7 linked regions of the Oryctolagus cuniculus genome follow. The protein of the gene in region 6 interacts with the protein of the main gene of each other region in a biochemical or structural test. Links are inferred from orthologs where the notes say so. Each region holds a gene or a part of one and is shown on either strand. Other genes may lie near its edges.

What was found.
Region 1: the proteins of DLG1 (region 6) and CTNND2 interact in a test that uses a peptide from one of them, tested with the Homo sapiens proteins (2 studies listed by IntAct, with this or other methods). The link is inferred for Oryctolagus cuniculus from reciprocal best matches to the Homo sapiens genes DLG1 and CTNND2.
Region 2: the proteins of DLG1 (region 6) and ADGRA2 form a complex in vitro, tested with the Homo sapiens proteins (2 studies listed by BioGRID and IntAct, with this or other methods). The link is inferred for Oryctolagus cuniculus from reciprocal best matches to the Homo sapiens genes DLG1 and ADGRA2.
Region 3: the proteins of DLG1 (region 6) and PTEN form a complex in vitro, tested with the Homo sapiens proteins (2 studies listed by BioGRID and IntAct, with this or other methods). The link is inferred for Oryctolagus cuniculus from reciprocal best matches to the Homo sapiens genes DLG1 and PTEN.
Region 4: the proteins of DLG1 (region 6) and MAPK12 interact in a test that uses a peptide from one of them, tested with the Homo sapiens proteins (2 studies listed by IntAct, with this or other methods). The link is inferred for Oryctolagus cuniculus from reciprocal best matches to the Homo sapiens genes DLG1 and MAPK12.
Region 5: the proteins of DLG1 (region 6) and GUCY1A2 interact in a test that uses a peptide from one of them, tested with the Homo sapiens proteins (2 studies listed by IntAct, with this or other methods). The link is inferred for Oryctolagus cuniculus from reciprocal best matches to the Homo sapiens genes DLG1 and GUCY1A2.
Region 7: the proteins of DLG1 (region 6) and TMEM178A interact in a test that uses a peptide from one of them, tested with the Homo sapiens proteins (2 studies listed by IntAct, with this or other methods). The link is inferred for Oryctolagus cuniculus from reciprocal best matches to the Homo sapiens genes DLG1 and TMEM178A.

The regions. Positions count from the first base shown.
Region 1 is NC_091445.1:41,181,238-41,185,396, reverse strand, and holds the start of CTNND2 (catenin delta-2), read left to right. Parts: upstream 1-1,359; 5' UTR 1,360-1,607; coding exon 1,608-1,827; intron 1,828-4,159. UniProt on the Homo sapiens protein: Has a critical role in neuronal development, particularly in the formation and/or maintenance of dendritic spines and synapses. Involved in the regulation of Wnt signaling.
Region 2 is NC_091433.1:87,659,262-87,663,531, reverse strand, and holds the start of ADGRA2 (adhesion G protein-coupled receptor A2), read right to left. Parts: upstream 2,801-4,270; 5' UTR 2,403-2,800; coding exon 2,140-2,402; intron 1-2,139.
Region 3 is NC_091446.1:42,723,183-42,726,682, forward strand, and holds part of PTEN (phosphatidylinositol 3,4,5-trisphosphate 3-phosphatase and dual-specificity protein phosphatase PTEN), read right to left. Parts: intron 2,459-3,500; coding exon 2,273-2,458; 3' UTR 1-2,272. UniProt on the Homo sapiens protein: Dual-specificity protein phosphatase, dephosphorylating tyrosine-, serine- and threonine-phosphorylated proteins.
Region 4 is NC_091442.1:123,206,753-123,209,067, reverse strand, and holds part of MAPK12 (mitogen-activated protein kinase 12), read left to right. Parts: intron 1-770; coding exon 771-882; intron 883-969; coding exon 970-999; intron 1,000-1,253; coding exon 1,254-1,301; intron 1,302-1,711; coding exon 1,712-1,826; intron 1,827-1,993; coding exon 1,994-2,065; intron 2,066-2,162; coding exon 2,163-2,242; intron 2,243-2,312; coding exon 2,313-2,315. UniProt on the Homo sapiens protein: Serine/threonine kinase which acts as an essential component of the MAP kinase signal transduction pathway.
Region 5 is NC_091432.1:98,475,020-98,478,519, reverse strand, and holds part of GUCY1A2 (guanylate cyclase soluble subunit alpha-2), read left to right. Parts: intron 1-2,055; coding exon 2,056-2,541; intron 2,542-3,500. UniProt on the Homo sapiens protein: Has guanylyl cyclase on binding to the beta-1 subunit. Isoform 2 acts as a negative regulator of guanylyl cyclase activity as it forms non-functional heterodimers with the beta subunits.
Region 6 is NC_091435.1:83,523,395-83,526,894, forward strand, and holds part of DLG1 (disks large homolog 1), read right to left. Parts: intron 2,627-3,500; coding exon 2,454-2,626; intron 1-2,453. UniProt on the Homo sapiens protein: Essential multidomain scaffolding protein required for normal development. Recruits channels, receptors and signaling molecules to discrete plasma membrane domains in polarized cells.
Region 7 is NC_091433.1:163,090,557-163,094,056, forward strand, and holds part of TMEM178A (transmembrane protein 178A), read right to left. Parts: intron 2,393-3,500; coding exon 2,255-2,392; intron 1-2,254. UniProt on the Homo sapiens protein: Acts as a negative regulator of osteoclast differentiation in basal and inflammatory conditions by regulating TNFSF11-induced Ca (2+) fluxes, thereby controlling the induction of NFATC1.

The sequences.
Region 1 (4,159 bases), on a different chromosome or scaffold from region 6:
TCCTTTGGGCTGGAAGTTCACAGAATTCTAGACTCACAACCGGAGTCACTTTGTTTAAGGACGTCTCAGGACCCGCGACAACACGTGGCCCCAGAACACTGGAGGCGATGGGACCGGGCAGGTGCCGGGACCCCCTCTCTGACCCATGCCATGGCTTCTGGCTCTAGAACCCCACGACCTGCCCGGAGACCAGGGCCACCTCCAGCAGGCGCGTCCAGCCCGCTCCTCCCCGGCCCCTAGGCACACGAGACCCCCGCACCCCTTCCCCTTTGTCTGCAGGCCGGCATCTGCCCCATCAGAATCAATGCCAGTATCTGGCACCTGCAGAACCGGGGTTCTAGCCCTTCTCCGGGTCCCCTGCATCCCCCCGGCTCGCGCCCAGGGCGTGCGTTCCCAAGGATGCGCGGCCCTCTCCCAGCCCGCGGCCTCCTCCCCTCTCTCCTGCGGCTGCCGCTGCCGCTGCTGCCGCGAAAACCAGAAGTGGAGCGCGCGCGGCAAAGCGCCGCGCTCTCGCGGCGGCACTGGGCATGCTCGGCACCCAGGGCAGGTTTCGGCGGCGGGGCGGACGCTTCTACACTAGCCGGGCGCCCGAGCCGGCCGCGGAGGCATAGGTGGAGGCTGAGGCTGCTGCGCGCCGCGGGAGGAGCCTCGCCCTCGGCGGCGGCGGCGGCGGCGGCGGCACAGGTGGCGCGGGCCGCGCGCGGGGCGCAGCACGGGAGCGCTCGGCGCCGGGCGCCGCGGCGGCCCCAGGCTCGCGCCCGCGGCGGTAGCCGGCCGATCAGAGCGGCGGGCGCGGCGGCGGCGGCGGCTGCTCCTCTACCAGCCCGGCCGGCCCTCCGCGGCAGCGGCGCCCGGAGCCCAGAGGCGCCCCGAGGAGCGCGGGGGAGCCCGCGGAGTCGGGCAGGGGGCGCTGCGCTCGCCGCGCTCGGAGGGGCCGCCGGGCCGGGCGCTGCGCACTCGCGTCGGGAGCCGCCTCTCGCCCGCGGCGCTCGCCCCTGCTCCCCGCCAGCATCGCCTGTCCCGCGGCCGCGCTCAGACAACAAAAGCGGAAGATGCCGCAGTTGGGCAAGGTCAGGACCTTGCCCTGAAGCCGGGCGGCGGCGCGCACGCCTTTCCCCGGACGGGAGGAGCTGTCGCCGGTGGCGGGTGCATGTTCGCCAGGAAGCAGCCGGGCGCCGCGCCGTTCGGTGAGTTGCCTTCTCCGGGCTGCCGGGGCCGGCGCATCTTGCGCCTCGGCGTCTTCCTCCTCCTCCTCGCCGCCCGTGGGGGTTGGCCCTGGGCTCCCGGCCGGCTGGCGGCGGCGGCGGTGGCTGCTGCGCGGTGCTGCCGGCCGCGGGCGCGCCCGGTCCCCTGTCGGCCGACGGCTCTGCCCGGCGCGGGGTCCAGGGCAGGTGCGGTTCTCGGAACGGTTACCGAGTGGCTGTTGTGCGTGCGCCGCCTCCCTGCCACCCATCCGCCCCGAAGGAGGCGTATATAGGGCAACCCGACCATCCTGCTCCCCGCCACCCTCCAGAACATACCCGTGGCATTCATGACGTCCCTAATATACGAGAGAAGACGGGTGGGGGTGGGGAGGACCTCCCTCGCGTCTCCTGCCCTTATGCTCAATGTCATTACGATGTTTGGCTAGAACAAAATGGAAAGACTTGGTCCTACGCGTCCATGGCCGAGTCTTGCGCCTGCCGCCGCCCGCCAGACCGCGAGTCCCTTTTGGTCTATATTTAGCGGCTTCGGGGGAAGCCTTTGCAGCTCGATTCACAGGTTTCGGGAGCTCGCGCGTCCTGACAATAGATCGTGAGGCTCTGGAGAGCGGCGCGCGAGACCCAGGTTTGGGGAAGCTGCGCGCGAGCCTGGGCGGTGCGCGATGCGAGATCTGGGCGATCCGTAATCAATGGCTGAACGCGGCGCTGCTGGGTTTGCTCCCCGACCTTCCTCCTCCTCTGGGGTGCGATGGGTTTCCTGGGCTTGCTCCTCGGCAGCTTTCAGCCACCGCGTTCAGAACCAAGTCTAGACACGGGGGGTGCAGCCTCTCTGGTCTGCGTGGTGGGGAAACAGACTTGGGAATTTTTAGGGTGTGTGTGTGTCTGTGCGTGTGTGTGTGTGTGTGTCGTTCCCACAAAGAACAGTTACTTCCCTAATGCCCAAAGTTGTGTTTCGCTGCAAGTGTGGGGGTGGCGAGGGGTGTGGAAGCCGAGAGAGGAGCAGGTTGCGGGTTCCCTGCCTGGAAAAGGTGCCTCCTTTTGAACTGATGGGATTTGCTGTGGCTCTGAGAGGGGTTGTTCACGTGCATGTCTGATGTTCTGGAGCAGCTAGGTTGGCTCTGAACAGAGATTTGTTTGAAGCATAGAATTGGGCCTGGCTGGCATAGATTTTCACTTTGTGGAACTATGGGACCAATATTTAATATGCTGGGAGTTTTCTGTAACGATTTCCCTGAAAATGAGGAGGTGCCGGAACTACCCGGGAGTTATCTCATTGTGCGCCTTCCATCATCGGTAGCTTAGGTTAGTGGTGGTAGGTCAGTTAATCTCTGCTGTTAGTCATTCGCCTACATAATTGAAAGGCTTCAGAGCATGCCACTTCTAAAATCCCATGGAGAAGTGTTTGATAGGAATTAGAGGGATGAAGCTGTGCATGATTGGGGAGCTTTGCTATAGAAGTATGGCAAATAAGGGAGAGTGTCTTCATATCTGGATTGATTGCTTTGAACTGTGCTGAAATCTCTCGTTAACGTATCTTTGCCATATGCAGAATCCATTGCTAATGTTGTTGGAAGACCTGTTAGGTGATATCCATAGTGGTCTGTGGATTATGAGATGTCAGGGCTTGAATGAATATGATTGCATTCAGAATTTGCTGCTGAAATTTGGGAGGCCCTATCATGATAGCAAAAACAAGTTAGTGCTGCAGAATGATCAGCCAGGTCTCAAGTGGCTCAAGTTAACAGAACACTGGTTAGTTTCACCAATATTGCATTTGTTTCAACTTTATCACATTCAGAGAACTTTCCTAGAGCACTTCAGACATTGTTGTGTTCCTTGCATTCTTTAAATATAAAATATATTTCAAAAGAAGCCATACATGATAGAGACATTCATCTCTTGTTCTGTTTTTCCCCATTTGACTCTAGGGTTTGTTTTAAATGATTCTTAAAGGACCAGTTGATATTGCTCTGTGCCTGTGTGTGCACCAGAGAGCTGTTGATGGACGTAATTAAAACTAGATGTGCATTTTACGTTTTATTTAGATTGAAAATGCTAGTACTGGACTGAGTGGCAATTGTAGTAAGTACAAGATTGTTTGCTCTAAAGACATTGTTGTAGCCTTGCAGAAAGTAGTTACTTAATTTGGTGTATGTCTGTAGTTGTATGGCTCAGTTTTTACAGATGTCATGGATGTTTTCACTATTTGTAATGAGAGTCATGTGCTATCAAATTATGATATTTCCATCCACTTCATATCTTTGCCATAGAACAAAAGCCAATTCTTTCCCCCAATGAAATTGTTCATCAGACAGGAAAAATGAAATTCAAATTATATTAGTTGGAAAGGACAATTTATAGTTTTGTGAAGTAATTTCTCTGGATAGTATCCCTTCATAATGACCTCTAAAATTAAAAATGAAATAACAATATTCTCAAATATTGCATTACTTCTAGCTATAGTTAAATATGCAGTACTTTTTCCCTGAAAATGTTATAGAACTTGCTGTTTGTTGTGCTTTTAAATGGTATGTACTTCTGTGGAATTGCTGCGATTTTGCAGTGTAGTTTCATAAGGTGTCCTTGCATAAGAAAGTACCAGTTACATCTGAAACAATGTATATGTACTTTGTATTGGCCATTATGTTTCTAGTTGTAACTAGTTGCAGTCAATTGAACTAAAATATACTGTTACATTTTGAATATCCGAAGTCATTTTTTTTTCTTCTTCCCTCATGATTAGCCACAAAAGAGGTGAACTTCCAGTTATGGTTGTTTCTTTTTGTGGACTTTTTTTTTTTTACTTTTTTTTTTTAGAGGGAAATTGGTGATGCTACTATCACTTTCCAACATAGATCTTATGAAGGATTCCACGTGGTTGAGAGTACTTAAACTCGAATGCCATAATTCAGACATTGAACAAAAACCATGAATTAACTGGCAGTTAGTTCTAACTT
Region 2 (4,270 bases), on a different chromosome or scaffold from region 6:
GGTGGAGGAAGGGTTTTTGGGAGAGGAAAGCAAGACTGTCCACCACATCACCTCTGACCTCCTGAGGGCCTTCCCTGGGCAGCAGCTTCTACGCGGGCACAGTCCCCAGGCTCCGACACTCCCACTCCGTGTCTGCCGGGCTGCCCAAGGTGGAACCCCAAGGATTCATGGGTCTGGGGGTGGGGAGCAGGGCGAGAAGGGGTCCTCAGTGGAGCACAGGGGACGAAAGATCCGCCAGGCAAAACCCACGCTGCCTCCTGCTTGGCCCTCAGACTGCAGGGCGGGCAGGATGCATGGAGGGGGGTGAGAAGGGGCTTCTCAACTGAGTACCCTGGGGGTCTCTTCCCAGCTAGTGGTGCCCTGGGTATCCTGGCAGCTAAGAGGCATGTCCACAGCTGGGGCCTTCGTCACACTCCGGGCCCATGGGCCAGCGGGCTCCCAGGGCTTTCCCGGCCAGCCCCGAACACGGTCCCTGTGGGACTGTCTGCCCAGGCTCAGGGGAGCTGTTGCTTTGCAAGGTCCTGGAGCAGCTGGGTCCCCGGCCTGGGAAGAGCGAGGGACAGGAAGGCAAGGGAGGAGTCCAGTTCGCTGCCACTGTGTCACCGAGAGTTGGCCCCAGACTCTCCTCGGAGCAGCGGCAAGGGGAATTAGCTGTAGCTGGAAAGCATTAGGGGCCAAATGATTCTAAGATGTACTGCAAAAACCACCTTTCGCCCCCCCCCCCCCATCTGCCTCTGCTATGTCAGGATTCCAGCAAACAGAGACAGCATCCCACACATGTGTGTGAGGACAGCCACAGAGCGCACGCACACACACATGTGCACATGCACACACACACACCCACTCAAGGCTGACTGACTCTGGCGCAGCCGGGACGTACGGAACCAGCCCGGCCATTCCACCGCAGCCAGCATTTTTCTCCCGCAGAACTGAGTGGGCTGAGGAATGCCCAGGCTTGCCTGGCCCCTTCAACACCAAGTGGGCGATCACAGGCACCCGGCCTGGGCAGCCACAGGTGGCAGCTCCTGTGGGCGATCGCCAGAGCCCTGCGCTGCTGGAGCGAGCCGACGGGCGGCCTCCACCCCCCGAGGCGCACACGCACACGGACAGCCCAGCCGCGGAAAACGCAGGCCAGCGGCCCACGTCAGAGGCTGACCAGTTGCGTCCTGTCAGGAAGCGCGCAGCCTCTCAGCGCCCCCAACTAGAGGCGTTCCCGTATTGTTCTGGACACAATCGAGCGCACCGAGCCAGCCCCGACTGCGGGCACGGGGCGGTGGAGACACCGGGGCCACCGGGGTCAGGGGGACGGGGCAGGGGAAACGGCTGTGCGGCTAGACCGGGGACGGGAAAGGAAGGGGTCGCCTGGGCCCCCCGGCCGTCCCTACTCGGCGCGCGCGGAGCTCCCAGCACGTGGGCGGCGCGGGCGGTCGCGCTGCGGGGGAGGCGAGGGGTCGGCCCGCGCGCGGGGCCACGCTCCCTCGCCGCCGGCGAGGCCAGGGCTGAAGGAGGCCCGGGCCGCGATGCGAACTGCGGAAGGAGACTGGCAGGCGCCCGCCTCCCCTCAGCCGGGTTTCCCTCTTCGTAGGGTTTGCGCGGAGTCAATCCAGACAGAGCCAGCGCGGAGACATTTCCAGGCGAGGGCGAGAAGGGGCAGAGGGACGCAGGCCTCCCGCAGGGCTGAGCGCCCGCATTCCAGGGACCGGCTTCTCCGAGCCCACCCTCCGCCCGCCCCGCGGAGACCCGGCCGGGAGCGCGCTGGTGCGCCCAAAGCCGTACGGGCTGTTCCGGATCGGAGGAGCCGGACCCGCCCGGTAAAGCCGGGTGGAGTCCCCCTGTCGGGTCCGGGACGCGGTCGCCTCCTGGGCCGCGGGCGTCGACCTTGCCAGCTCCCTGTCTCTCAGGTCCCGGAAGGGTGAAACCTTAGCCCAAGCTGGACACTTGGGGAGCGTGGGCGTCCCGTGAGCGCACGTGCCGCTTCACCTGTGCAGGTGAGCCGGCGCCTGCCTCCCTCCACCCTCCTGGAGTCCCCGTCTCCCCCCAACCCAAGTCTCCCTGCTTGGCGCTCGGAGTCAGACCCGGGAGGTGGGGTCGTCCGTCCCCGGCCCTCCGCTCGCCCACCGGTGCGGATGAAGTACTTACAGGGTCACGGTGCCGTTAGGCAGCAGGCCGGGCTCCGGCGGCTCCGGGAGATCCCCGCCGCCGCACACCACCCTCCTGCGCGCCGGGTTGGGGGCGCCGCTGCTCAGTCCTTTGGGCCGCTCCCCCGAGCACTTGCAGCTGCGGATGGGGACCGGGCAGCCCGGCGCGCCCCGAGTCGCGGGCGCCAGGAGCAGCAGCCACGGCAGCAGCAGCAGCAGCAGGCGCGCCGGCGCCCCCAGCATCCTGCGTCCCCAGGCGCCCATCAACCCATCGCCCCGCGGGGACCCACAGCGCAGGGGCCCGGCTGCGCGCCGGCGGGAGGGACCCGGGCGTGCGCGACGCGCGCTCAGCGGGGGCCCGGGACGCCCGGGGGCGGGGCGGGGGGCCCTGCGCGGAGGCGAGCCCCAGGGTCCCCGGCGCCGCGCCCCGGGGGCATGTCCTGAGAGCGCCCCGGCGGGGAGGACGCGGGCGCGGCTGTCAGCGCCGCTTGGGCGGCCCTCGGCGGCGCGGCCCGGCTCCCGGCGCAGGGCTCGGGGGCCGCGGGACGCCCGGCCTCTCCGCGTCGCCTGCTCCCGCAGCGCTGCGCTGGGACCTAGCGGATCGCGCCCGGCTCCTGCCGCCGCCGCCGCTCCGGGCCATGGATGGAGGCAGCCCGGCGCCGCGCCGCTCCCGCCGCCGCCGGCCCCGCCCGCCCTCCGCTCGCCGCCCACCCGTCCGCCGGGCCCTAGCGCCTCCCGACGCGCCCAGGCCCCGCGCCGGCCCGAGCCCAGGCGCCCGGACCCCCACCCCCGGCGCGGACCCTTTCCCCGCGCCGCGCCCCGCTGACCTCCGCGCCCGGAGCCGTGGCCTCCCGCGCTCGTGCTCGACCGGCCTGCGCCCCGCGCCGCCGCGGCCTTTCCTCTGCTCTGAGGCCGGGGCGTAGCGTCTGGGCTTGAACTTGGCCCTCGGCGCCGGGGTTCGCGCTGGCCCCTGAGCTGACCAGCCGGCCTGGGGGTCGGCTCCGTCTCACGGCCTCGGGCCCGCCCGCAGGCTCATCCGAGGCCGCCGCCGGAGGACGCATGCTGGGGACCGGGCTGCAGGGACCTCGCCCGGAGAGGGCAGTGACCTCCACAGCAGGGGGTGCCTGTCGCTCGGGCCGGGCAGGGCAAAGGCCGCGGCAGACCCGGCTGGATCTGCCCTCCTACCTTTTCGACCTCCCTGTGGGGTGTGTGGTGTAGTGTGTGGTGTATGTGGTGTGTGGTGTGTGTGGTGTGAGTGTGTGGTGTATGTGGTGTGTGTGATGTGTGTGTATATGCGGTATGTGAGTGTGGTGTATGTGTGTCTCTGTGGGGTGTGTGTGTGGTATATGTGTGAGTTGTGGTATGTGAGTGTGGTGTGTGGTGTGTATGGTGTATGTGTGTGGTGTGTGTGATGTTTGTGAGGTGTGTATGTGGTATGTGTGTCTGTGGTATATGTGTGTATGTGTAGTGTTTGTGTGTGTGGTGTGTGTGTGGTATATGTGTGCATCGTGTATATGTTTGTATGTAGTGTATGCCTGTGGTGTATGTGGAATGCATGGTATATGTGTGTGTGGTGTGTGGTGCATCTGTATGTGTATGTGATGTGTTTGTGTGGTGTGTGTGTATGTGGTGTGTGGTGTGTCTGTGTGCATGGTATATGTGGTGTGTGTGGTGTATGTGTGTGGAGGGTGTGTGTGGAGGGTGTGTGTGGTGTATGTGGTGAGTATATGGTGTATGTGGTGTGTGTGTGTGTGGTATATATGGTGTATGTAGGGGTTATGTGTGGTGTATGTGGTGTGTGATGTGTATATGTGTGTGTAGTGTGTCTGGTGTATGTGGCGTATATGATATGTGTGTGGTGTGTGAGTGTGTGTGGTGTGCATGTATGTGTGTGGTGTGTCTATGGTGTGTGTGATGTGTGTGTCAGGTGTGTGTGTCTGTGGTGTGTGATGTGTGCATGTTGTGTGTTGTGTATGTGGTGTGTGTGATGTGTGTGTGGTGTGTGTGATGTATATGTGAGTGTGTGTATGTGTGTGTTATATGTGTGTGGTGTGTGTGTATGTGAGTGTGATGTGTCTGGTGTGTGTGATGTGTGTGGTGTGATGTGTGTGTAGTGTATGCAATGTGTGTAG
Region 3 (3,500 bases), on a different chromosome or scaffold from region 6:
CAAAATCAAAACCCTCATTCAGACCTTCACATTCCAAAGGAAAAATAATAACAGTGCAAAAGCCCATTATAATGTCATTATTTATGACCTGGCCCTCCATGTTACATACTGGAACAATACAAGTTATATTTTAATATGCTGTGCCCAAAACTGTAACAAAGAACAGTATTAATATCTTCAAAACATGAATAGCTGATTTTCATTTTAGTCAACAATTTTCAGCTCTTATGAAAGACAAGGTGATATACAAATTTCAATGGTGAGATCTTAGGAATGGTTGTCTCTAACTTTACCAATTTAACTTATGAGCAGTCAATACTCTATGTATCAATGTTTAAATATAAACATGTAAATTCTAAGAGCTTTGTTAAAAATTTAAAAATTTTATTGGTTGAGTGAAACTGATGAGGTATGGAAAAAGTCAATATGATTTACTAAGAATATTTTAGATGAAGTTCTGCCTAATCTATTTACCATCAAACTCTATGAATGCTGCTCTAGTAGGTCCTATGCAATCTGTATTTGTAAATTAACTAGGTCAGACCACAGCTAGTGAACAATTTCAGCACCAATAAGTTATTCAAAATGGGATTTTATACCATTAAGAAATACAATGGCTAGATATTCAAATGTCAAGGTCAAGGTATAATTTGAAAGACACCAAATTCCTGGGGAAAAAAATCCTTTTTCATAGTTTTTTCTCATTACCTTCACAATATTAGTTGCACTCTGCTTGAAATCATATGCAGTCTGGGAATATCAAATAAATGATGATATTTAAGAAATTGAAGCCCTAGTCCCAACTCTAGCACTATGAAATGATTCAACACTGCACAATGAAAAAATCTATTCTTTCAATAGCAAATCAATAAAGCAAATGTTGGATAATTTCTACTGAACAATTATATGCCTTATTATTTGTGCAGTGTTGAAATTTACTGCAACTCTAATTTCCTTTTTAACACAATGTCTTTTTTTTAATATAAACATTATATGTATTCAGTATTCAAGTAAAATTCCCTAACAGTTAATGACATTTAAAAAATGTGCAAAACTGCAAAACTCATTGTAATAGAATGTGTAAGGTCAAAAGGGTGGGACGGCTGACAGCTACTGGATTGAATAAGTGCATCATAAATCTTTAAAGAAAAAAACCGCTTACTGTAGAATCTCAAATTGAAATTTCCTGTGTAGCATTACAAAATATTTTATATTTAATGAGGAAAAAAAGAAGCTTGCAGGCAGCACTTGAAGCATCCACAGCAGGTATATGATTGAAAACTAATAAAGTATAAATTGTTGACTGATGTAGGTACTAATAGCATCTGACTTTTAGCACTGGCCTTGATTACACAGGAGATGGAGCAGTCATTACAATTGAGAAAACATATTTAATAAATCATTGTCAATTTCTATAATGTTTCAAGCCCGTTCTTTGTTGATAGCCTCCACATTTATATGGTTAAGTCATTGTTGCTGTGTTTCCTATCTATAACCACATTATTTTTATATCCCTTCATTGTGGATTAAGATGTTGCAGAAGGTTCATTCCTGTACCCCAAAACAGATTCACTCCCTCTAGCTGCCTTTTCTAGCACCAATATGCTTTTTAAAAAAATGCACAAACAACAAGCAGTGACAGTGGCCAAATCCTCAAATGTCCAGATTAGTACTATAGCATGCTAAAGAAAGGTGCGTGTAAATAGCTGGAGATGGTATATGGTCCAGAGTCCAGCATGAGATAAGATTCCTTTCTAAGCATTCTCTCCATTCCCCTTACCTGAATACATGCATTAGAATTTAACAAAACCCTTAAGAAACTTCTCTTAGCCAACTGCAAACTTATCTGTTGCCACAAGTGCAAAGGGGTAGGATGTGAACCTGTGCGTCACAAAGCTCTTTTAGCCACTTAAATTGGTGACAGAACACAAAAGGAAAAATTTCCACGTATACACATCAGTCTGTCTCCACTTTTTATAAAACTGGAATAAAACGGGAAAGTGCCATCTTTATTTATCCTAATTGAATTTTAAATGTCCTTTTGACACAAAAATGTATATACACGACACAGCTACACAACCTTTTTTTAACTGGACAACAAGTGTCAAAACCCTGTGGATGTATAGGGTAAAACAAGATTGGTCAGGAAAAGAGAATTGTTCCTATAACTGGTAATCTGACACAATGTCCTATTGCCATTAAAAAAAAAGGTCCATTTTCAGTTTATTCAAGTTTGTTTTCATGGTGCATTATCCCTCTTGATAAAAAAAATTCAGACTTTTGTAATTTGTGTATGCTGATCTTCATCAAAAGGTTCATTCTCTGGATCAGAGTCAGTGGTGTCAGAATATCTATAATGATCAGGTTCATTGTCACTAACATCTGGCGTTACAGAAGTTGAACTGCTAGCCTCTGGATTTGATGGCTCCTCTACTGTTTTTGTGAAATACAGCTTCACCTAGAGAAAGAAGAGAAAACTTTAAAATGAAAATCCACAAATATGATTAATCTTAAATTATTTAGATGACATATTTTTAATTTTTCAATCATAAAATTCAATTCAAAAATAGTTGAGTTCCAAAGGAATGTTTCTTTTTTTCTGTTTTAAAAATATTATTTGACAGATGGACAGAAACAAGGACAGAGACAAGCAGAGCCCCCATCCATTGGTTTACTCCCCCAAATACCCATGATGAAGAAGAGTAGGCCAGGCCAAAGCTGGAAGCCACAAACTCAACCCAAGACTCCCACAGAAGTGGCAGGGACCCAAATACTTGAACTGTTACTGCTGCCTCCCAGGGTGCACATTGACAGGAAGATGGAATTGGAAGTCGAGGTGGGACTTAACACAGGCACTCTGAGACGCAGGCATCCTAACTGGCAGCTTAATCACAAGGCCACCTGGCCCAAGAATGGTTTCTCTTAATACCTGTCTGAAACTCAGAGTATTTTTCCATACTAACAATACTAAACAAACATAAAAAATACTGATCAATAGTGAAACTCAGGATCCATTAGCTCTAAAAACTTCACCTAAGGAAAGGAGAGGGAAGTTAACATCATATGTTGTCTAAACAGTGGGCCAAGAGCCTTAACATGTATAGTCAAACTAATCAATCTAAACAACTCCACATTTTAGTTTTTTCAATTTTAAAGGAAAAGAAACCAAGGCCTGGGACGGTTAGGGAATTTGCAAAAGGCCACATATCTAGTAAGTATGGATATGTGATATTTAATTGAATCTGACTCCAGATCCCTTGCTCATTCTAACTATAGACCCTCTCCTATTGTTCAAGAGTCATTATCAATTCTTTTCTTATACCAACATCCACTTTGTCAGTAAATCCTGTAATTTTACTTTCAAAATATCACATATACCAATCTGACAGCTACCTTCACTATCACTATTCTATGTCCAAACAATTACTAACTCTCCCAAAACTAAACTGCTCTAACAGCCTCTGAGCTATCTCCAAAGTCTTGCCCCCTTTTTCCTACTT
Region 4 (2,315 bases), on a different chromosome or scaffold from region 6:
CCCTCCCAACATGTTCCTGGGACCCTTGGGCACTGGAACACCCAGACACAGCCCGGGCCTCCTCCTCCCTCCACCCGCAGCACCTGGGCCATCGCCGGTGCTGGAGGTGTGAACCCTGTTAACAGGCTGGTCCCGTGCTCTGGCCCCAGGCACCAGGCGTGTGGCCTGTAACTGGAGCTGCTGACCTTTGCCGGTGGGTGGAGGAGAGGTGGCAGGGAGCGGCCATCCCGGCCTAGCACTGACCAGGCTGCTTCCGGCTCACGTTGTTCTCAGCTGGGAGCAGGGCCAGGCCTGCGGAGGGCTGCGGAGGGCAGCGGGCTCCCTGTTGCCTGACATGCCAAGGGTGGGTCCCCGAGGCCTCAGCGTCTCCTGGGGTGCTAAGTGGTGACTTCCCTCCCTCGGCCTGCCCAGCCCACCCCTCTGGCCACCACCCATCTCGTCCTTCCCCGGCCCCTGTGTGTGAAGCTTCCTGCCCCCTTGTCTTCAACACTGTGCCTTTTAGACGAGAAATCAGGAGCCCCACAGTGGGTGACATTCAGGGTAGGCTGGGTGGGATGTCTGGGGGGAGGCGGGGTCATTGCTGGGAGCGACAGGGAGGTCGGGGAAGAGAGGACTCGACCGAAGCCAGCGGGGACCAGGTGCTGAGGGTCACCTTCTGAGGGGCATCTGTCGGGCAGAGTCCTCCAGGTCTGAGCCTGAGCCCATCGGGTGGGACCCCCGGCTCCAGGGCCCGGCCCTGGCGGGTGACTGCATCCCAGCCCCACTTCCAGTTACCTGGTGATGCCGTTCATGGGCACCGACCTGGGCAAGCTCATGAAGCACGAGAAGCTGAGTGAGGACCGCATCCAGTTCCTGGTGTACCAGATGCTGAAGGGGCTGAAGGTGGGGCACCCGGGCAGAGCAGGGCGGGGAGGCTCTGTGGCCCTGAGGCCCTGGGACGCTGACCCCTGCTGACCCCTCTGTCTGCAGTACATCCACGCTGCTGGCGTCATCCACAGGGTGAGTCCTGGCTACGGCCTCCAGAGGGGCCCAGTCCCGTCTCCACTGCTCACCCGTGAGGGGGTGCGGTGGGCTTGGCGTGGTGCACACGACACCCCATGCATTGCTGCTGGGAACGTGTCCTGGGGACCCAGGCACCTCTGCTCTCCTGGACGGGCTGCAAGGGCCAGGGAGGCTGGGTCGGGCCTGGCGGCCCCTGTGTGGGTGCCGTCCAACGTCGGGCCTCGCAGTGGCCACCTGTCCTCTGCCTGCAGGACCTGAAGCCCGGCAACCTGGCAGTGAATGAGGACTGTGAGCTGAAGGTGCGAGGGCCAGGGGCCTGGGGGGGGGGGCTCCCTCACCATCTGCCCCCAGCCTGGCACCTGGGCAGGGGCTGAGCAGCTAGCTGGTGGGCGAATGGGCCCTGGGTGGTCCCTGAGGGGGTGGCATCGGGCACGACGCCCCCATACCTGCGTCAGGGCGAGCGTGGGAGGTGTTCCCAGTCCCCATGCCTGACCCAGGGCGGGGCTGAGGAGGCCTCCAGGAAGACGGGCAGGGGTTGGCAGAGCAGGGAGAGGAGTCCAGGGCCAGAGCTCCCGGGTACTCCCAGGGAGGGACCCTGGGGTGGTGCTTGCTGCCTTGGGCCCAGCCCCCTGGGGGTCTCCCGGACCATGGCTGGCCTGTGCATCCCTTAGGGGTCCTCTTAGTCCCATCTCTCTGATTCTTCCCACAGATCCTGGACTTTGGCCTGGCCAGGCAGGCTGACAGTGAGATGACTGGCTATGTGGTGACCCGGTGGTACCGGGCCCCCGAGGTCATCCTGAACTGGATGCACTACACACAGACAGGTAAGAGGCCACCCAGGGACACGGGGGCCTCCCAGACCACACCGCTTCGCTCCATGGTGGAGGCCCCGCCCCCCAAAAGCTGTGTGTTCTGGCGGAGCCGGGTGAGGGCGTGGGCCTGTGCTACAGCCCCTTCCTCCACCCCGGGTGCTGATGGGGTCTCGTCTCAGTGGACATCTGGTCGGTGGGCTGCATCATGGCGGAGATGATTACGGGGAAGACGCTGTTCAAGGGCAGTGACCGTATCCTCAGTCGTGGGCTGCCTGGCGGGCGGGGCCGGAGGAGGTGGGTGTGGCTCCTGCTCCCTGTCCCCTGTCGTGCTCCTGAACCCCAGTGCAGACCTGGACCAGCTGAAGGAGATCATGAAGGTGACAGGGACGCCTCCGGCCGACTTCGTGCAAAAGCTGCGGAGCGCTGATGTCCGTATGGAGCTGGGCGGGTGAGGCCAGCTGGCCTGGGGGCTGCCCCTCACCCTGTCTTCCCTGGCAGGCC
Region 5 (3,500 bases), on a different chromosome or scaffold from region 6:
TAGTCTTACTATCCAGAGTGCTAGTAGTAGAAGGAATGCTCTCAAAAGAGAGAGTGTTGTGCACAGTGGGTTAAGTCACAGCTTGGGAAACCATATTTGATACCAGAGTGCCAGTTCCAGTCTAGGCTACTCTACTTCTGATATGTGTTCCTGCTAATGCACCCTGGGAGGCAGCAGATAATGGGCTCAATTACTTGAGTTTCTGCCAACCATGTGGAAGACATGAATGGATTTAGTGGTTTCTGGCTTTGGCTTGGCCCAGACCTGCTATTGTGGCCACTTGGGAAGTGAACCAGCAGAGAGCTCTTTGTCTCTGTCACCCTGCCTTCCAAATAGGTAAATAAATAAATCACTTTTCTTCCAAAAAAAGAAAAAAAGCACTCAATGACATCAGTGAATAACTGAACTGTGAATAATTATAAATAAAGCCTTATAAATAAAAGGGTGAAATACTGAACTTTAGCAGAAAACTTACATAAAAAAGTAAGCATTTATTTTATTTCAAAAAAATCCATAAAATAAATCAAGGATTCAATTTTATTTCCTGATGGTAATTGTTTTAGGCTGGGGGTTGATGTTTTGCTCATAGCATCACATGTGATGATACCTGGATTTAAGTCCCAGCTCCCTCTTTCCAATTCCAGCTTTCTGATAATGTGCAGCCTTCACCCTGGGAAACTGCAGGTGATGGCTCAAGTACTTGGATTTCTGCCACCCATGTAGGAGATTTGGATTGTATTTCCGGTTCCTGGCTTCAACCTGACCCAGCCCTGGATATGTTTGGAGAATGAGCCAGAAGATTAAATACTACTTTCTGTCTCCCTCCCGATCTCTTTCTGCCTTTCAAATAAATAAAAATTATATTAACAAATGGGGTATTGTGAACAAAGACATGCTTGCAGGCTTAAACGTCCAAATTCCTGTAGTTGGCCCCGTATTTGCTCTCTGCCTCCAATTTCATCAGCTGGCCTAACTTTATGCTCTAAAGAATAAAGGAAAACAAATGTATTGAGCACATTTGATGTGATAGTGGAAAGCCATTCAGGTGAAACTAATGCAGTCTCAGTTGGCCAACTCTTAGCTTGTCCTTTCCTGGGAGTAACAACTGGCTTTCCCTCCAGGTGTGCTGAAATACCTTATGCTGGCCTAAATAACTGTATATGAAAGGTCATATCCTAAGCCTGCCTTCCTTTCCTACTGATGCTCATCCTCTCTGAACATGTTCACCATCCCATAAACTTGCTAGTTAAACTAAGTTTTCCATTAAACAATTTGCTAAATTTCTCACAGAAAGGACACATTAAGAGGGATAGATTAAAATGAATAATGTTGGATTGTTTATCTTGTTAGCTGAGTTCCTTCTGTACTATTCAAGTTTTTTAAATTTATTTTTAGATTGTAGTGATATGCTAGATGGGTGAGTGATAATTACTTTCCAGCTTAATGATATGTGGCTTAAATTTTCATTTTTAAGATTGAAATCAAGCAAGAAATCAATTAATTGACTAAGTATTCACCAGTCTACTCAATGCAATAAACATTGCATTATCCAAGGGTTATATCTGGTGGAAAAATGACTTCCATGAGGCATAAGAATTATTTTGACTCATTTCAATCTCTTGAATTTTTTTCTGAAAGGAGTTTTTTTAAATGACAAGTAAATGTAGTTATTTTGACAGATAGATTTATCTTAATTCTATTATTATTAAGCTAAAAGTTTTTAATTTGCCTCATAAACCAGTTTCAGGGTATACCTGAGAATAATTTCATCTTAAATAAGAAACGTTTTCCTTGAATACTTTCATCTTGAATAAAAAATGTTTTATTGCTCTTCCACTTTGCTATTTTCTTTAGAAAGTGGCTGAGATGCAAAAATATTTTTTGAAACATGAAGTTTACACTGCTGTAAATAAGATTTAAGTATACTTACATCAATGTAGTAAGTCAGCATAGCTAATAAAACATTTCCTGTCTTCCTGTTACCACACAATGCATTAATTTTTGTGAATCTACTATTTGAAGAATACTGACCAAAGCTCCATGTTCATGTTGCAGGTGATGGAAGTCAAAGGACAAATGATCCATGTCCCAGAGTCAAGCTCCATTTTATTTTTGGGATCTCCATGTGTGGACAAGTTGGATGAACTCATGGGCCGAGGACTACATCTCTCTGACATTCCTATTCATGATGCCACCCGAGATGTCATTTTGGTTGGTGAGCAGGCAAAGGCTCAAGATGGCTTGAAGAAGAGGATGGACAAATTAAAGGCAACTCTAGAAAGAACTCACCAGGCCCTGGAAGAGGAGAAAAAGAAAACAGTGGATCTTCTTTATTCTATTTTTCCTGGAGATGTAGCCCAGCAGTTGTGGCAAGGGCAGCAAGTGCAGGCCAGAAAGTTTGATGACGTCACCATGCTCTTCTCTGATATTGTTGGCTTCACGGCCATATGTGCCCAATGTACACCCATGCAAGTGATCAGCATGCTGAATGAACTGTACACCAGATTTGACCACCAGTGTGGATTTTTGGATATTTATAAGGTAATGGAGCTCAGTTAATTGTATATAGATATTATTTAATAGTAAATTGTCATCTAATTAAATTGTGAGTATATGTTTTCATTTGATAGTAAAAAAAAATCAGCATTTTTGTAAGTTAGAATTCTCTCTATAGAATTCATGTTTTTTTTTCTTTATGAGCATTTTTTTTTGGTCAGTTTATGGCATGACATAAGAAACTGTGAATCGGGCCAGCACCACAGCTCACTAGGCTAATCCTCTACCTGTGACGCCGGCACCCCAGGTTCTGGTCCCAGTCAGAGCGCTGGATTCTGTCCCAGTTGCTCCTCCTCCAGTCCAGCTCTCTGCTGTGGCCTGGGAGTGCAGTGGAGGATGGCCCAGGTGCTTGGGCCCTGCACCCGCATCGGAGACCAGGAGGAGGCACCTGGCTCTTGGCTTCGGATCCGCGCAGCGCCGGCCGTAGTGGCCATCTGGGGGGTGAACCAACAGAAGGAAGACCTTTCTCTCTGTCTCTCTCTCTCACTGTCTAATTATGCCTGTCCAAAATAAATAAATAAATAAAAAGATATAGCAAGTTATATTTAAATATGCATGTATTATTAGTTAACTCACACCTAACAGTATTTTACACCTAATTCTCAGTTAAGCCAGATCCCATTAATTCTAAACTAATATATGTAATTATTCTAATTATTGTGCCAGTGACCATTTTTTGTGGAAGTATCTTCATTTTCATATGTACATGAATGGGAAAGTTTTAAAATGGTTGTTAACTATTACTTGCTGGTCTGATTATCAAACTTCCTTTTAATTTCTTATTAAAATCAAAGCAATGTTTTGAGTGATTCAGTCCACATGTCTACCTGATGCATAGCTGCAATTCTGCATATGCTTTCACATAGATTACACAATGTCAGGGTACATGGCTTTTTATGTGAACAACAGCAAGAAGAAACAATAGTGAACCATAGGTGTCTATA
Region 6 (3,500 bases):
TAAATGAGGGTTGACTATCCATTCCCTTCTGTTGATTCCAATTTTTCACATTATAAGGTGCTACTGTGGATATATGTATACCTAGACATGAATAAGTAGAATTTCTGAATCACTTATTAGGTATTGCCCAACTGTTGTCAAAGGAAGTTATGTTCATTTATATCCCAACTACCTAAAAATTTCCATTTTCTCAAGTCCTTGTCTTCACTTCTGGGACATATGCACTTTTTCTAAAAATGTTAAATTAGAACAAACTTCTTTTAGAAAAGTAGCATTTATATATGGGAAACTTATTACTGCTTTATGTTTTGTTACAGCTATTTCATAATTGAGACTTAAACTCTAAGTTTTAAAGGTATACAATGTTTATTTTCTAGGCCCAAAGATTTAAGAAACAGCACTATGACATTGATTTAGCTTCACTATAAAACTTTTAACCCAGTGTCACCATTTCACCAGATGACTACAAAAGATGCTTTCAGAAAGTCTATTGCTGTTGTTTGTGAATTCCTGTTTTTTTTTTTAAATGTTAATATTGTTGTTCAAGTCAGATTCTTTTTTTTAATGTTTATTCGTTTTTATTTATTTGACAGGCAGAGCTATGAGAGAGATTTTCCACATGCTGGTTCACTCTCCAAATGCCCAAAACAGCCAAGGTGCAACAGGTTGAAACCAGGAGCCCAGAGCTTCATCTGGGTTTCCTACATGAATGCCAGAGACTCAAGTACTTGAGTCATCATTGTTGCCTCCCAGGCACAACAGCAGGAAGCTGGATTGGAAGTGGAGGTGGAACTTGATCCTGGGCACTCTGGTATGGAATGTGGGCATCCCCAACTAGTGGCATAACCTACTGTCCCACAACACCTGTCCAATACTGTCTTTGTAATTTTTAAAAAACATGTATTTATTTGAAAGTCAGATTATACACACACACACATATATGTGTATATACACATACACACACATATATATATGTATACACACACACACACACACACACACATATATATATATATATACACACACGAGAGAGAGAGAACTTCCATCTACTGGTTCACTCCCTAAATGGCGGCAACAGCAGAAGCTGCGCCAATCCAAGCCAGGAGCTTCTTCCGGGTCTTCCATGTGGGTACAGGGGCCCAAGCACTTGGGCCATCTTCCATTTCTTTCCCAGGCGCAGCAGCAAGGAGCTGGATTGGCAGTGGAGCAGCCAGGACTTGAACTAGCACCTAAATAGGATGCTGGCGTTGCAGGCAGTGGCTTTATCTGCTATGCCACACCATCGAACACCATATATATATGGTGTTTTTTTGTTTGTTTGTTTGTTTGTTTGTTTTTAACAGGCAGAGTTAGTGAAGGAGAGAGACAGAGAGAGAAAGGTCTTCCTTCTGTTGGTTCACCCCCCAAATGGCCACTACGGCCAGCGCACTGCACCAATCCAAAGCCAGGAGCCATGTGCTTCTTCCTGGTCTCCCATGCAGGTGCAAGGCCCAAAGACTTGTGCCATCCTCCACTGCCTTCCCGGGCCACAACAGAGAGCTGGCCTGGAAGAGGGGCAACCAGGACAGAATCTGGCGCCCTGACCGGGACTAGAACCCGGTGTGCCGGTGCTGCAGGTGGAGGATTAGCCAAGTGAGCTGCAGCGCTGGCTATATTGTCTTTTTTTTTTTTTTTTTTTTTTTTTGACAGGCAGAGTGGACAGTGAGAGAGAGAGACAGAGAGAAAGGTCTTCCTTTTGCCGTTGGTTCACCCTCCAATGGCCGCCGCGGCTGGCGCACCGCGCTGATCCGATGGCAGGAGCCAGGAGCCAGGTGCTTTTCCTGGTCTCCCATGGGGTGCAGGGCCCAAGCACTTGGGCCATCCTCCACTGTACTCCCTGGCCACAGCAGAGAGCTGGCCTGGAAGAGGGGCAACCGGGACAGAATCTGGTGCCCCGACCGGGACTAGAACCCGGTGTGCCGGCGCCGCTAGGCGGAGGATTAGCCTAGTGAGCCTCGGCGCCGGCCTATATTGTCTTTTAAATGAAGACTCAGAGGAGAAACTTTTGTCTAATCTCAATACCAGCAGCAACTACATTTATCTTGAACATTTCAATAATTTTTATTGTTGGATACTGCAGATCTTAGTTCCTCAATTACATGAAATGCTGGAAAGCTAGGACCAAAGACAGGTCTGTCTCTAGCAAAAGGTCTTAAAATAACAACTGCCCCTCTTAGATTTGTGCTATTCTTTCTACTCCCATTTTTTTTTTTTTTGGTCTATTTTATCTTGTATGTAAACTTGTATGTCTTTTTCTAAACCACCTAAAATTACTTAGTTCAATGAATTAAAAGTAATCAATCTATCATCCATCTTGTATCCTTTTAAGTAAGAACTAGAAGTTTCTGTAATTCTTTCATATTGTCAAAGGCATATCTGATGAACAGCATATTCTGCATTCATGTGATGCTTACCTTTTCTGCTACTTCTCGCACAGACTGAACACTTGTTCCATACAGGTGGTTGTTATACTGGCCAGCTTCAATGAATTTATGTTCCTGGATATCTTTTTCCATCTGTTCTCTTGAAGTCACAAAATGATAATCTCTTCCGTCTACCTCATAATCTCGTTTTGGTCTAGTTGTATCTTTAACAGAAAAGAACTCAGGGAAGTGTTTAATATTAAAAAACATAATAAACTCATTTTCTACTGAAATAATTGTTTTATAAAGTTCCAGAGTTTAATTTAAATCTAGAAAAGTACAATAATATGGAGGATGAAGCAGTAACTGATAAAATAACTAGGTATAAACCATTTTTTTTTTGACAGGCAGAGTGGACAGTGAGAGAGAGAGACAGAGAGAAAGGTCTTCCTTTTGTCGTGTGTTCACCTTCCAGTGGCCACCGTGGCCAGCGCGCTGTGGCCGGCACACTGCGCTGATCCGAAGGCAGGAGCCAGGCGCTTTTCCTGGTCTCCCATGCGGGTGCAGGGCCCAAGGACTTGGGCCATCCTCCACTGCACTCCCTGGCCACAGCAGAGAGCTGGCCTGGAAGAGGGGCAACCGGGACAGAATCCGGCACCCCAACTGGGACTAGAACCCGGTGTGCCGGCGCTGCAAGGCGGAGGATTAGCCTATTGAGCCACGGCGCCGGCCCAGGTATAAACCGTTAAAAATTATATTTACAGGCCGGCGCCGCGGCTCACTAGGCTAATCCTCCGCCTAGCGGCGCCGGCACACCGGGTTCTAGTCCCGGTCGGGGCGCCGGATTCTGTCCTGGTTGCCCCTCTTCCAGGCCAGCCCTCTGCTGTGGCCAGGGAGTGCAGTGGAGGATGGCCCAGGTGCTTGGGCCCTGCACCCCATGGGAGACCAGGAAAAGCACCTGGCTCCTGGCTCCTGCCATCGGATCAGCGCGGTGCGCCGGCCGCAGCGCGCCAGCCGCGGCGGCCATTGGAGGGTGAACCAACGGCAAAGGAAGACCTTTCTCTCTGTCTCTCTCTCTCACTGTCCACTCTGCCTGTC
Region 7 (3,500 bases), on a different chromosome or scaffold from region 6:
TGGTTTTGAGAGTTTAAATCCTCTCCCAAAACCTCGAGAACTAATTTTTTTTTTTTTAATTTGACAGGTAGAATTATAGACAGTGAGAGAGAGAGACAGAGAGAAAGGTCTTCCTTCTGTTGGTTCACACCCCCAAATGGCCACTATGGCCAGCACTGCGCTGATCTGAAGCCAGGAGCCAGGTGCTTCTTTTTTTAATTTTTTTTTTTTTTTTATTTTATGACAGGCAGAGTGGACAGTGAGAGAGACAGAGAGAAAGGTCTTCCTTTTTCTGTTGGTTCACCCTCCAAATGGCCGCTACGGCCGGCGCACCACGCTGATCCGATGGCAGGAGCCAGGTACTTCTCCTGGTCTTCCATGGGGTGCAGGACCCAAGCACCTGGGCCATCCTCCACTGCACTCCCGGCCACAGCAGAGAGCTGGACTGGAAGAGGAGCAACCGGGACTAGAATCCGGCACCCATATGGGAGGATGGATTAACCAAGTGAGCCACGGCGCTGGCCCCAGGAACTAAAATTTTAGTCTCCCTTTGCTACAGCCCTGGTAGCCACCATGTATTCACCAAAATCCAGAAAAGCTAAGCTGTTTTTCTGCTCACAACTAAACAGGGCCCCCAGATTTCTGAATGTTCTGTTGGGATGCTTGCAAAGACGACCATACTCCATGTCACTGACAGTGGTAGCACCATATCAAGGAGTGCTTGTGGGGCCAGTGGGAATGGGAGTTAGAAAGCACAGCCCCTGCCTGTGATGGGTGAGGTGAGGCCACAGCGGGGACGAACAGCCCAGAGAGAGAAGTGTCACCTCCCTGCCAGCCCTGAGAGACAGACAGAAGGTGGTGTCCGTCCTGCCGGGTAGCACCACCTCGGGTTAACCCAGGCTTGATTACAGGGCCGAGTGTAGAGAGCCCCAGCAAGCCCCTTGAGTGCCAGCACTCTGGGGAGCCAGAAACAGGCAGATGAGAAATGGCTGTCCAGGGTGGCACTCGGGCTGAGGCTGCGTCTGCTTTGTGAAATGTAGTTCTCTAACGTCTAATCACTTACTAATTTTTGTGAAGGAGGAACAGGAAGCAAAGATTTCTTCCTATAGCCCCCTTAAGTCAGCATTAGCCATCAACTCCACTCTTGACTCCTTTTTAGACAAAAATCTTTCACTTGTTCATCAAAACCACCCTGACCACATCTCCATACCCCTCTTCCAATCTCTTGATTGGAGTCAAGTTACTCCTTTGCTTAAAACTTTCTAGTGGCTTCCATCACCCTAAGTGTCAGATCCAGGCTCTTCGCTGTGGCCAAGAATGCACTAAAGATTCAGGCATTGCCTGCTGCTTCCACTGTGATGGATCCCTCGCTCCATTCCCTTCCAACCCCATTGCTCTTTTTCTCATAGCTCAGACTGACTGATGCTCCTGGCCTTTGGGTTGGCACTGGTGGCTTCCACAGCCCACAGCACGCTCCCAATGACCGGTTGCTTCGTGGGACGAACCTCAGAAACTGTCGCCTCAAGACAGCTTTCTCTGAGTCCCTATTTCATCCGATTCCCTCACAGCTTTTCCCGGCATCACCAATCATTGTGTATGTCTCCCCACAATAAAAACGGACAAGGATTTTGCCTGCCCCGTTTATTGTGTGTCTCTAGCACACAGAGCAGTGCCCGAGTCCTCCAGTCCTCAAGGAACTAACTGTGGAAGGGATTGAATAGAGGTTTCATGGGAAATGCATACGATGACATGCGCCATGAGCAACCAGTGCTCAGTGATTCGCAAGGCAGCACATTCCATTCATACCATCAAGTTATTTTATCTTCGCGCATCAAGGTCAACAGATCTTTTGGTGCCATTTTCCATGAACTTTTGGGAGTAACCCTGTAGATAGAAATGCTGCCAATGACACCATCACTAAGACCAGAACTGAGGTGACTTTTAGTCAGCAATGGGTTAGGATAATCTATCAGCTTCTCTCCCCAGGAGAGCTCCTGGTAAGCAATGAAAAACTGAAAAATACCAACCTGTCTCAGACAGAGATTAAATCCAAGACACCTCCATCTAACCTAGAGCAGACCACAATGGGGATAGCAGGGCTGCATTTTTGTTGTTTTCTTGAAATTCCAAATTACCCACCCAAGCTAAATGACCTTCTGCTTGCTTTTCTCACAGTTGGAAGCAACTTTAACAGGGAGGTGACAAAGTGAAGTCGGCCGAAGACACAGCAGCCATCACTTTGGCAGAGAAAGGCGGCCCGAGGTGTGCAGCGTACCTGTCATGAGGAACAGGAGTCCAGCCACATGCTGGGTCAGGCTTTCCTCCCAGAAGAAACTGACTGTGGCCACAATGCAGCCACACAGAAGGACGGCTACCGCCATGCCCAGGAAGCCAGCAGTGATTCTTCTCAAATCTAGTTTAGAAACAGAAACACACATTCAAAATCAGAAGAGACAGGAAAGGTACTGACAATCAGAGAATAAAGAGCGCTGTATGCATTGTGAAAATTAGTTAAGTTACACAGACAGGCTGAGGGCCTGCAGGGTGATGGGGTTTAGGGAATTCTCCTCCCTGGTATTTCACAAAAGGACAAACAGGGTGTAACTGATGGAGGGACCACAGTCTACCCTCTGTCAGTCCACGGAGAAATTCATGTCATTAGAGAAGAGATAATAAGACAACCCCAGGGGAAACTTGGGTAATAGACAGACAGCTACTGAATACACTGTGAGGGAGGAAGGTTTGAGAAATGCCTTTGTTAGCCTTAAAAACAGTAATAGAAATGTAGGCTAATACCACTGTGTCTAAAAGGCATCTGGCTTTGGAGAAAGAGCCTAAAACCTGAGCCATAGTGAAACAGGATTTTATCTAAGCACCATGGATGCCAATCATTTCATTTTTTATTTACATCTACTCTTACCTATGGTCAAAAAGGATTTGAGAAAGTGAAGGCAACTGTGGTGACTGAAATAGTGACCCAAAGTGCACACATTACACATCTACTCATAAGTACCCTCTCCCCTAAAATATGGGTCCCTCAGCACAAACATCCTTTAACCAGGTTGAGGAAGGAACTGGTCCCTTTGGACAAGTCTCCCCCGGGTACCCAACTGTCCTGTCCTGTGTATTGCCAATTTTGGCTACAGGTATTTGGACACTTTGTTTCCAATTGCTAAATAACACTTGTATTATCCATTTGCTGGCCATCACTTTTCTGTTCTACTTCCTTTCTCCCCTTTTTACTTTAAGAATGAAACTAACTTGAAAAATTATTAGCTAAATGTCTATGATCCTCTTTGAAGCAGCAGATCCCAAACATACATCTGCTGTCCCTGAGGCCAGGCAACAAGTCTGGGCAAATGCACGTGAGCCACGCACACCTGCAGCCAAGACAAGGCACATGCTGCACCCTTTGAAGTGTGGAAGAGCCCAGGCAGCTGCCTCCTGGTAGGTTTGAGCAGCTCCTGGGCTTCTTATGGGTGCATGTAGAATGGGTTACAGTAGCATCAATCTTGCTCTTA